2 linked regions of the Sus scrofa genome follow. The protein of the gene in region 1 purifies or fractionates together with the protein of each later gene. This does not show direct contact. Links are inferred from orthologs where the notes say so. Each region holds a gene or a part of one and is shown on either strand. Other genes may lie near its edges.

Region 1 (6,010 bases):
ATATTCTTTTTGTTAAAAATTCCTCAAATACTTTTAAAAAATAATTTTATTTTCTTGATATTTTAGTATACTGTCTTAGATTTTTTTGCAAGAGGGGCAGTTATAAAAGTAGCAAAAAATACATGAGGTGTTATTTACCAAAAGAATGTTGAGAAAAGGTGTTACTTCATCTTCTTAACTCTTTATCATGTAAATCATCAAAGTTGTAATTGAGTTGAAGTAGGTATTATTTTTCCCCTGTAATTAACTCAAAAAAATGCAAAACCATTAACCTTTTCAGCGATTCATATTTGTCATTGAAGTGGATTGTTGACTGTATTTTATGATTGTTTATGTTGATATAGAAAGTGACTGAGACTGAAGACGACAGTGACAGCGACAGTGATGATGATGAGGATGATGTTCATGTCACTATAGGAGACATTAAAACGGGTGCACCACAGTATGGGTAAGTTCTTTTTTTGGTCTTTTTAGGGCCTCATCTGTGGCATATGGAAGTTCTCAGGCTAGGAGTCAAATTGGAGCTGTAGCTGCTGGCCTATACCACAGCTACAGCAACATGGGATCTGAGCCACATCTGTGACCTACACCACAGCTTATAGCAACACCAATTCCTTAACCTACTGAGTGAAGCCAGGGATTGAACCTGCATCCTCATGGATACTAGTCGGGCTTGTTATTGCCAAGCCAGGACGGGAACTCTGGGGTAAGTTCTTAAGTAACAACTGTGTGCTTAAATTAAAGGTAGAGTGCCTGTATCAGACAATTAGTGATTGATTTAATTGTTCTTACACTTTTCCATCTTACCATGATATGAAAGAACTTTTGTTAAAATTTCACCAAATGAATTGCTAAGAGAGGAGGTAAAAATTCTTGTCACCAAAAAAAAATTTGTAACTGTGTGGTAGTAGCTATTAATTGAAGTTATTGTAATCACTTTGCGGTTTATACATATGTCAAATCATTATGTTGTACACTTAAAATTAACTTAGTGTTATATGTGAATTATGTTTCATGATGAAAAGGGATTTCACTATGAAAATACTTTTTTCCTGAAAATAATTAATTAGGTAAAGTTATGTAAAAGCAGCAATTTTTGATTTCTAAAATTGAAATATCTTTATAAATGAATTGAGATTCTTTAAATAGAATTAGAAAACCTTGAATTGCTGTTTACATCTACATTGTTCTTACGTTTTACTTATCCAGATCTGAGTTTAGATTTTTAATTTTTTTGTCCAATAAAAACAATATCAAAAGTATTTCTGTAGTTCCTGTCGTGGCGCAGTGGAAAAGAATACGACTAGGAACCATGACCCCTGGCCTCATTCAGTCGGTTAAGGATCCGGTGTTGCCATGAACTGTGGTGTAGGTTGCACACACGGCTGGAATCTGCTGTTGCTGTGGCTGTGGTGTAGGCCCGCAGCTGTAGCTTGGATTAGACCCCTGGCCTGGGAACCTCCATACGCTGTGGGTGCAGCCCTAAAAAGCATTAAAAAAAAAAAAAGAAAGAAAAAAGTGTGTATTTTTGCTTTTCATAGTGTATTTTTCAAGTGGTTAATTTGCCTGTAGGCTCTTTAGGCTGATAAGTTGTCTCAAGGATTATAGTCTGTAAAGCTGGATCAAGTGAATGGACTATCATGGATGCACAGAGCACATAGAAAGAATTTTACAGGAAGATCCGAAGGGAATAAAGTATAGGTTTAGATTTTGTTATGGTGGTAGATCTTTTCTATTGACGTCTTTTCTGTTTTTCAGAATGGATATATATTGTGGTGCTTGTGCATTGGAAACATAAAATTTTGTTAATTGCACTATAGTTCATTAAGTAGCTTTATTGGGAATGAAGCTGTATAAAGGAATAAGTTGCTAAAAGTCTGTAGGTGTTGAAGAGAAGATCCTAGATGTGGTATTATTTGAACTTGTGTGAATAATTCTTGAGACAAAAGGACAGATAAATTAGATGGGTGATACTATGTATATGTAGTGGAAGCATGGCTTAGAGGATCTTAAGACTAGAGGATAAGGTAGATGAGAAAGGATGCTTGAAACCACTGAAGAGATGGGAGTTAGCATGTTGTCATCATCATGGAACCTTTAAAAGGTTTATAGGCAAGTCACCACTATTTGAAAATATAAACTCTAGCAGTGGTAATTGAAATGGACTAGATAGAAATGAAGTTAACAGCTATGAAGTAATTGTCCACATGGGATGATAATCCAAACTAAGCCAGCAACAGTAATATAGGGATAGATGGAAAAATTAGATATATTTGAGTGAATAATAAGTGGATATAACATGGGTAACAGATTGGTTATAGATGGAGGGGTAGATAAAAGGTGCAGTGGTTTAGAGGTTTTTGGACAGTTCATTGTGTATATAACATTGTATTACCATGTGTAGGTAATGTGGGAGGAGTAGATTAAATTTTTTTCCCTCTCTCCTACCAGCCTATTTTTTATATATTTTTATTTAAAACATTTTTTAATTTAAAAATTTTTTTGGCTGTGCTTGCAGCATACAGAAGTTCCTGGGCCAGGGATTGACCTCGGACCATAGCAGTGAGAACACCAGATCCTTAACCACTAGCCACTAGGGAACTCCAAAAATAAATATTTTGATGTTTTTTTTTTTTTTTTTTTTTTTTTTGACTACAGTGTGCAGTGGTTTGATGTGGGGTCTCAGTTACCAGCCCAGGGTTTGAACCCTGGCCGTAGCAGGAAAAGCGCTGAATCCTAACCACTAGAGCACCAGGGAACTCCCCTTGATAAATTTATTTTGACGTTCTCTTTAGACATTAAAGTATATAGGATATAGCCCCTAGAGAAGCCTGAGACTTCATGGGGGGTTATTGGATGGTATCAGATTTACTTAAGAATGGTTTTTGATGTAGCTAAGCTTCTTTATACACAGCGAGTATGAATGTTTGGTGTCATTTAAAAAATGTTTTAAAAGGCAGAATGGGAAAGGGAAAGTAGAGACATTCATGTAATGAAGTATGATAAACCTTTTATAATATGGTTTTGATTTATCTTTTAGCAGTTCTGTAAGAGAACCATTTAAAAATAATCCTTAGTTTTTTACTTTGACTTTCAAACATCTAGGACTTTTATACATCATGTATAGATATCCCAAAGAGCTTTTGCTGTGCTAAATTTAGATTTTTTTTTTTAATTTAGATTGTTGAAATGTAAGCATTGTGGGGGAGGAACCATGTTTGTCTAGCTGCTCATTCTCTCTTTAGCTTAGCATTATATATGATGTAATGTGGATGCTCGAGCAGTTACTAAATGAATTAATTAGCCAATGAGATGAGTAAACATTTTAAGTAGAAGTAGTGCTTGACAGTAACAGTTTATTTGGGGCTACTTCATACTTCCTGTGTTTATAGCAGTGGAGCTTTATACAAGTATTTGAATATTTTGTTGAATTTATCCTTATATCTTTAAGCAGAATTACCTAGGTTTCAAATTTAATACACTGGAGACAAAAGATGAAAATTATTAGGCAGGTGAAAAGCAGTGCATTTTCACAAGTCCATTTGAATGAGTAGGAGATGAGATGAAAACAAAGCATTTAAACTGTTCTTTCACAGTCAAATTTCTGGGAAGTTTATTACAGTGGGAAATTGAGTTAGTAGCAAGTAGGTTTTTGAGTTGGAAAATTAGACTTTTAAAAAAATACTTGTTTTTATCTTTTTTTAAGCAAGGAACAGACCCTTAAAATTAGTTTAAAACATTTTCTAAAATGTTTGAACTAGTTTCAGTTTATTCAGTTAATGTTTGGGTGTATAATTTATGTTACATACAGAATATATTGCTGTTTTTACTTTAAGTTTCTCAGGATAATTTTTATTATTTTACTTTTAGGAGTTACGGCACAGCACCTGTAAATCTTAACATCAAGACAGGAGGAAGAGTTTATGGGACTACAGGTAAAATTTGTATTTGCAGTTGCATCCATAGGAATATATATCTGAATAGGTCATGAATAGGTTGTAAGCTGTTACAGCTCATTTTTAAAAAGCAGTTTTTGACCATTTTTCATGTAGTGGAGATACTTTCTGTAAAGGGCTAGGTAATCAATATTTTAGGTTGTGTGGGTCACATAGGGTTTCTGTCACGTATGTGTGGTTTTTTTGTTTGTCCTATAACCTTTGAAGAAGTAAAAAATCTTTCTTAGCTCACAGACTACAGTGATTTAGAACATGGAAGTTAGCAACTTCCTTTTGGTATAGGAATCCCTTATTGTGAGCAACAAGTCCCTAATTTCTCTATCCGTTTTAACTTACAGCTATACCATACATTTTGACCTTACTGTTTATTTATGGTAAACCTTGCCGTTTTGTTTAGGATTTTGCCGTATTTTATGCTAACAGTAGTAAAAAGGTGTCAGTGTTTTCTGTTTGTCTGTAGTATCAGCTTCTTTCCAATGTGGTTCCTTCACCATTTTGTACTTTTCTAAAGTAGGAACGAAAGTCAAAGGAGTGGATCTTGACGCACCTGGAAGCATTAATGGAGTTCCACTCTTGGAGGTTGATTTGGATTCTTTTGAAGATAAACCATGGCGAAAACCTGGTAAGATTATTATGGATTATGTCAGTTTAAAAAGATTTTTATTATAAACAGTTATTAGAAAAGTTTTTTTCAGCATCAGTTTAGAATATTATTTTTTAAATGTAATTTTTGTTGTCTTATGAATATCATAATAATGACCTGTATTAATAAATCTTACAGCCTAGCATTACGTAAGAGTAGACTTTGCACATTGTTTTATTAATGCCATTTCTAAAGGAAATAATTCTTTTTTTTTTTTTTTTTTTTTGTCTTTTTGCCTTTTCTAGGGCCGCTCCCGCGGCATATGGAAGTTCCCAGACTAGGAGGTGAATCAGAGCTGTAGTCTCTGGCCTATGCCAGAGCCACAGCAATGCAGGATCCAAGCCGCATCTGTGACCTACACCACAGCTCACGGCAATGCCGGATCCTTAACCCACTGAGCAAGGCCAAGGATCGAAGCCGAATCCTTATGGATCCTAGTCGGTTTCATTAACCGCTGAGCCACGAAGGGAACGCCCTCCATTTTTATTCTTACAGTTTAATATATATTATATGCTGCATAAAAATAGAATTGAAATATTTGCACACTAAAAGTGTGTCTTATCTTTAGGTGCTGATCTTTCTGATTATTTTAATTATGGGTTTAATGAAGATACCTGGAAAGCTTACTGTGAAAAACAAAAGAGGATACGAATGGGACTTGAAGTTATACCAGTTACCTCTACTACTAATAAAATTACGGTAATTAGTAAATATTCCAAAATACCCCAGCCTTTTCTACTGTCCCAGTTTTATTCCCTAAGTAAATCAGTTGTTCCCTATAAAGGTGGTTAAATGCTATGTGATAGTTTAAAAATTCCATTTTACCATGTTTGTTTTTTTCCCTTCCTTCCCTTTCAGAGTTTCATATTAATGATTATCTGATGTTTTTAGTTTCAAGTCACAAACTAGCCACAGCTAGTTTGTCTTTATATGGCCTACAATTAAAATTTATGTGGTATCTTAATGGGGAATATGTTATTTAACTTAGGCCGAAGACTGTACTATGGAAGTTACACCAGGTGCAGAGATCCAAGATGGCAGATTCAATCTTTTTAAGGTGAATTTTAGTAAATTATCCTTGGTTGCTCTCATTTTTTTGTTCTTGAGTCTGCTCCCATACCACTACTCAAGGGATGAGATTAAAGTGGAAATAGCTACCTTTTTTCCAATCCTTTAGCTTCCTGGTGACTTACAAATTTGCTGATTGTTGTTTTATCTCCACTTTGCAAGCATGTGAATTGTAGCCTATTATACTAACAATGCCAAGTAAAACTGTTCTTGCTATATGTTGTGATTTTTATTTTGAGTCATAATGTATGTTTGTTTGTAGGATATAAAAGTTTATGCCAACAGACTAAGCACTCATTGTAGGTCCTGCTATAATCTTTATCAGAATTCGAGACTTATTTTT
Region 2 (6,752 bases), on another chromosome or scaffold:
CATGGTATCTTCAGTAACGGATCAACTTGTACCAGCTATAGTAAGTCAGTTTTAAAATATAGTAGATCTTTTTTTGTAAGATCACCCATACTTTATACATTTTAGCAGAGTCTGCTAAACTTAGTCTGGCCTGATTCAAGTTTAAAAAATGAACACTTCAAGTCCTTTTGTTCAGATCAATAATTCCTAAAGTGGGGGTCCCCAAGAATTAACATCACCTGAGAACTTGTTAGAAATGCAAATTCTCCAGTCCCACCCCTGAAATACTGAATCTGAACTGGGGCAAGGAGATGGTGAGGCTCAGCAATCTGACTCAGCTAGCCATGGGTCTAGGTGGTCCTGATACATGCCAAAGTGTAAGGACCACTAGTTTAGATACTGTCAATAGTAGCAGGAAAGAAACTCAGGATCAGATAATCTGCACACATTGTTTATGAACTTTACAATTTATTCTAAAGCCTATTATCATTTACATGATTGCTACATTTAACACACACACAATTACACATGTAATTGATTTCTAAGTTGCTCTTGACAGAAAATGTGTCAAAAAGTCATGGCCATCTCAGCAAAGAGATGGTATGAAAAGGAGACAAATGAACCAAATGAACTTGTTTTCAGTTTTTCTGAAAGGATATATTCCTCAACTCCCCTCCACTTCTGCCCTACCTCAAATAAAAGAATCAGGGGGAAATAAAATTTACTAGCAATAAAAATACTTTATCACTTGTGGTTGCTGATATAAGTTATCATATATCTTGAATGGATAGCCATTAAAACCCTTAAATGAATAGCTACAAGCCTTGTGTCCTATTTCTTTAAAGTAAGAGGCTGACTCCAGGAGATAATGACTAGGAAGTGTGAAGATGTAGAAACAAAGAATAGCTGTTAGGCTGGGTGACTGGTAACTATTAATTAATAGTTAATTAATTAGTCTTTTTAGGGCTGCAGCCAGGGCAAATGGAGGTTCCCAGGCTAGGGGTCAATTCAGAGCTATAGCTGCTGGCCTACACCATAGCCACAGCAATGCCAGATCCTTAACCCACTGAGCAAGGCCAGATATCAAACCTTCAGCCTCAGAGATGCTAATCAGATTCCTTTCTGCTGAGCCACAATGAGAACTCCCCAAACTGGTAAAAATTTAGATGGTAAATCTGCCACATAGCAGAATCACCAAACTCACAATTCCCTGAAAGATACAGATAAAGGCCGGACGCACAGGTCCCTAGGTTGTTTCTTTAGGAAGAATACATACACTCAGGTGGAGGATGGCAACTTCAGGCTAGGCAATTACCTCACCACCTACCAATCAGAAGAATGTCTGATCAGACTCTGTCCCTTGAACAATTACTCTAAGACTCTTCACTACCCTCTCCAGGGTGGGACACGATCTTGAAGGCATTAGCCAGCTGCTGCCCCCTTTGCCTGGCAAAGCAATAAAACTGTTCTTTTCTGCTTCATCCAAAACTCTGTCTCCAAGATTCAATTCAGTGCTGGTGTAGAGGCCAGGATTTGGCTACACTATGTCCAAGGCTATTTTAAAGAACTATTAAAACACTTGAAGGTAGGAGTTCCTGTTGCCGCTCAGCAGGTTAAGAACCTGAGTAGTATCCGTGAAGATGCAGGTTCGATTTCTGGGCTCACCCATCAGGTTAAAGGATCTGGCACTGCTGTGAGGTGTGGTGTAGGTTGCAAACAAGGTTCAGATATGGCGTTGCTGTGGCTGTGGTGCAGGCCTGCAGCTCCGGCTCCCAATCTACCCCTAGCCTGGGAACTTCCATATGCCACAGGTGTGGCCCTAAAATAAACAAACAAACAAAACACTTGGCAAGGTAAATGGATGCTTTGTAGCTAAACCCTCATACTCATTTTATATCTATGCATTGAACTATGATACCCAAGAGACAACATTTTTTTTTTTCTTTTTTTTTTTTGCTTTTTTTGGAGCCACACCTGTAGTATATGGAAGTTCCCAGGCTAGGGGTAGATTGGGAGCTGGAGCTGCCAGCCTACCACACAGCCACAGCAACAGCAATGCCAGATCTGAGTCGAGTCTGCCAACTACACAGCTCATGGCAATGCCAGATTCCTAACACACGAAGAAAGGCCAGAGACTGAACTCACATCCTTGGGTTCATAATTGCTGAGCTACAACAGAAGTCCCTGTAACACAATTGTTTGGTGAAACAAAGTTTCATAATCCCCTCAAAGGCGCATATAGAATAAGATGATTCTCTGCTTAAGAGTTAATAAAGCTTAGGCTGAAACAATGCAGTCCTCAGACATGCAACAATCTATATAAGTAATTTTAATTTTTCTAAATAACCACATTGAAAAAATGGAGTGATACTTATGTTAAAATATATTTTATTTAATCTAATGCGTTAAAATATCACTTCAACATGGAAACAATAAAAAATATTTGTTTTTATACTTAGTTTTCAAAATCTTGCACTCATTTTACAAGTATAGTACATATCAATTAGAATGCTAAATTTTAACCGAAAATAATTTTTAAATTTAATAAATTTTTATCATTATAAAAGCTTCCCTATCATAATAGAAGTGGTGAAATCATTGCTTCAGTTTATAATAATCAGAACCAATCTAAATGCCTCCCAGTATAAGAATGGTTAAATTTAATTTATACTCTGTAGCCAGAAATATTATTAATAGTAATACTGGTTAATGTTATTAATAAAAAATATTATTATGAATATAGTTCGACTGCCGAGTGCTTGTACAAAGAGAAACTTGTAAGGGCCAGACACCTATCCACAGCGGTTCCCTGAAGCTATGAGATGGGGGTGGGGATGGAGCTGGCGCACGCTTTCGGCTTGCATTTCTGTGTATTTTCCAAAAATGCTCTTCTAAAACGGAAATATTATTTTGTATTTTAAGAAGCAAATCCCAAATTTTCTTTGAAACACGACTACACTCTTCCCTCGTTGTCTGTACTGTGATTTTAAATATAGCTTAATTACACTATAATACTGCTATTTGGAAATACTTGTATCGGAAAGAACACACCGCCTTAGTCGCTTTCAGTTAGCGGTTTCCCGCCGGGCAAACGGAAGCAAAACCGCCCGTGACGTCACGGTAGGCGGCCGCTCCTCGTTACCATGGTGAAGTCTACGCGGCCATCTTTACTGTGGTCCTCCCGCACTAAGCTTTTCCTGGCCGAGTTGGTACCGCGCGGTGCAAAGTCTGTAAAAATAAGAGGTGAGAAGGGAATCTCGCGCCTCAGTGAAAGTCCAGGGGCAGAAAACGTTAGTTTAGTTACTGGAACGTAGAGGTGTAAGTGCCACGGACTAGCGGAACTATTTCAGCAGAGTACTGCTGTTTCCGCCCGGATTCTGAAAACCGCTTCCGTTGCTCGGCGGAAGTGTGGGTCGCCAGAGGACGGCTCTTGGAAGAATCCGCTCTCCGGCGTGTGTGCACAGCCGGAATCATGTCGAGTTTGGCGGTGAGAGACCCGGCAATGGATCGATCACTGCGTTCCGTGTTCGTGGGGAACATTCCGTATGAGGCAACTGAGGAGCAGTTAAAGGACATTTTCTCCGAGGTTGGTTCTGTTGTGAGTTTCCGGCTGGTATACGATAGAGAGACGGGAAAACCTAAAGGTTATGGCTTCTGTGAGTACCAAGACCAGGAGACCGCGCTTAGTGCCATGCGGAACCTTAATGGGCGGGAGTTCAGCGGGAGAGCGCTTCGGGTGGACAATGCTGCCAGCGAAAAGAACAAGGAGGAGTTAAAGAGCTTAGGGCCTGCAGCCCCCATCATTGACTCTCCCTATGGAGACCCCATCGATCCAGAAGACGCCCCCGAATCAATTACCAGGGCAGTCGCTAGTCTCCCCCCGGAGCAGATGTTTGAGCTGATGAAGCAGATGAAGCTTTGTGTCCAAAACAGTCATCAGGAAGCTCGAAATATGTTACTTCAGAACCCTCAGCTGGCTTATGCGCTGTTGCAGGCACAAGTAGTGATGAGAATCATGGATCCAGAGATTGCTCTGAAAATTTTGCATCGCAAAATACATGTCACACCACTCATCCCAGGCAAATCTCAACCTGTCTCTGGCCCGGGCCCGGGCCCTGGCCCTGGCCCTGGACTCTGCCCAGGACCTAATGTTCTGCTGAACCAGCAGAATCCTCCAGCCCCTCAGCCTCAGCATTTGGCCAGAAGACCTGTGAAAGACATCCCTCCTCTGATGCAGACCCCTATCCAGGGTGGAATTCCAGCCCCAGGGCCAATTCCAGCTGCAGTTCCTGGTCCTGGCCCTGGTTCCTTAACTCCTGGCGGAGCCATGCAGCCCCAAGTTGGAATGCCAGGGGTTGGTCCAGTGCCCTTAGAGCGAGGGCAGATGCAGATTTCGGATCCTAGAGCTCCTATGCCTCGTGGACCCATGGCTCCTGGTGGCCTACCTCCTCGAGGACTGTTAGGAGATGCTCCAAATGACCCGCGTGGAGGGACTTTGCTTTCAGTCACTGGAGAAGTAGAGCCCAGAGGCTACCTTGGGCCACCTCATCAGGGTCCTCCAATGCACCATGCCTCTGGTCATGACAGCCGTGGCCCTTCCTCACATGAAATGAGGGGAGGGCCATTAGCAGATCCCAGACTGCTCATTGGAGAGCCCAGAGGACCCATGATAGATCAAAGGGGTCTTCCTATGGATGGTAGAGGTAGTAGAGATTCTCGAGGAATGGAGGCTCGAGCCATGGAAACTGAGGTCTTAGAGACACGAGTAATGGAGAGAAGAGGAATGGAGACCTGTGCATTGGAAACCAGAGGAATGGAAGCAAGAGGCATGGATGCAAGAGGAATGGAGATGAGAGGCCCCGGCCCCAGTTCGAGAGGCCCTATGAGCGGCGGAATCCAGGGTCCTGGTCCCATCAATATTGGGGCAGGTGGTCCTCAGGGACCCAGACAAGTCCCAAGCATTTCAGGGGTGGGAAATCCTGGAGCTGGCATGCAGGGGGCAGGTATGCAAGGTGCTAGCATGCAGGGGGCAGGTATGCAAGGCGCTGGCATGCAGGGGGCAGGTATGCAAGGAGCTGGCATGCAGGGAGCAGGTATGCAAGGAGCTGGCATTCAAGGGCCAGGCAAGCAAGGTGGAGGCCAGGCTAGCAGTTTTAGTCCTGGGCAGAGCCAAGTAACTCCACAGGATCAAGAAAAGGCAGCTTTGATCATGCAGGTTCTGCAACTGACTGCAGATCAAATTGCCATGCTGCCTCCTGAGCAAAGGCAGAGTATCTTGATTTTAAAGGAGCAAATCCAGAAATCCACTGGAGCTTCTTGAAAGATTTTGAGAACATATTTGGCAGTAATCCCAGAAAAGTTTTCTGTAATATAGAGAATGGGTGGGTGCAAAAAGCTGACTTCTGCATCCCCTCACTTGAATGATTAGGGTTTCCTTCCTCCTGGACCCTAATCTCATCCCTTGTTTCTTTCTTTCTTTTTTTTTCTTTTTTCCTTTTTGTAATTGTGGGATAGGGGGAGGTGGGAGTGGGTCTGTTCACTTCAATTCACTGTAAATACACAAAAATAACTAAACATGGTTATACCAATAAGATTACAAAGATTATACAGCATTATTGAAAAATGTCTACAATGTGTTAACTACATTTTTAAAATTCTTAGTAAAACAATGTGAAAACTGCACATAAAGATAAAAGATAATCTGTTAAAATGTTAATGTACTAAGATAGTTTAAGATGTTTGGTTGTATAAGAAAATGAAGTTTACCTCAAAATTACAAGATAATATTTTTTGTTAAGCTATTTAAAATACAAAATCCTATTTTGGGGTCAACGGAATGCTGTATTAGGTTAAGCATTGTTTCAGAGTTTGGCATTACTTCAGAACATTAGAGCTAACCAGCTGAGTCTCATCTTGTGGTATTGGAATTGTTTTTTCTGAAGCTGTGCTACCTGAAAAATCAAAGAGTGCATCTGGTGTGGTATTTCATTTATCCCACCCTTTGAGCAATATTTTGGCCAGGCCCTGGGCTTGATGATTTTGCTGGGACAGTTTTAGGGTCAACCAAGTTATTTAATTCTGCTCTGATGAGACTCTGTATCTCTCAGTACCTTCCTATTTCTCAGTCTTTTAAGGTCTAAATGTGAATCTGAATAATTCTCTCACATCCTTCCCCAAAACTGGAGTCTAGGGACCAGTTGTTCTGGATGAATTATACACAACATTGGGCTTTTCATAAATAGTGGGGGACTTCATGCAGTGTTAGTTTCCTGGTAACTAGCTTCCATACACAGATGGTATCCATCTGGTCAGCCAGAATCAGGAGTTAAAATCTTAGTCTCAGCAACATTTAAAATGCCTTTTGGTTTTCTTCTTTCAAAAATCTACTTTTTTGTCACCATCTTAACAATAATTGAGGCCCAGATAGGTAGAGATACTCTTAAAGCCTGAACTGTGCTGAGTTGGTTATTACTCACTTTTCTTTTACAAGTAATAAAGCTTTTTAGTCCTAATATGCATACCTATGAGACATTTAAAAATGTGTAGGAAGGTGGGGCTTATCACAGTTCCTTCAGAGCTACTGCTTCATTTGTTCTTAGGCCTAGAGGATATGGAGACTTAAAAATTTGTATGATAGAACAAGTAGTAATTAATAGAAGTATAAATACCCAGATAACCAGGTGATATTGACTCTGGAGAAGAAATAATATCTAGTTAAGAGGGGGAAAAAAGCTGAGACTTAGAAATTGAATTATTTTCCTTTTGTCAAGTTT

What was found.
Region 2: the proteins of FIP1L1 (region 1) and CSTF2T purify together in Homo sapiens (co-immunoprecipitation; 3 studies listed by BioGRID and IntAct, with this or other methods). This does not show direct contact. The link is inferred for Sus scrofa from reciprocal best matches to the Homo sapiens genes FIP1L1 and CSTF2T.

The regions. Positions count from the first base shown.
Region 1 is NC_010450.4:40,166,262-40,172,271, forward strand, and holds part of FIP1L1 (pre-mRNA 3'-end-processing factor FIP1), read left to right. Parts: intron 1-344; coding exon 345-448; intron 449-3,870; coding exon 3,871-3,935; intron 3,936-4,467; coding exon 4,468-4,578; intron 4,579-5,167; coding exon 5,168-5,298; intron 5,299-5,587; coding exon 5,588-5,656; intron 5,657-6,010.
Region 2 is NC_010456.5:98,102,385-98,109,136, forward strand, and holds the start of CSTF2T (cleavage stimulation factor subunit 2 tau variant), read left to right. Parts: upstream 1-2,572; 5' UTR 2,573-3,451; coding exon 3,452-5,299; 3' UTR 5,300-6,752. UniProt on the Homo sapiens protein: May play a significant role in AAUAAA-independent mRNA polyadenylation in germ cells. Directly involved in the binding to pre-mRNAs.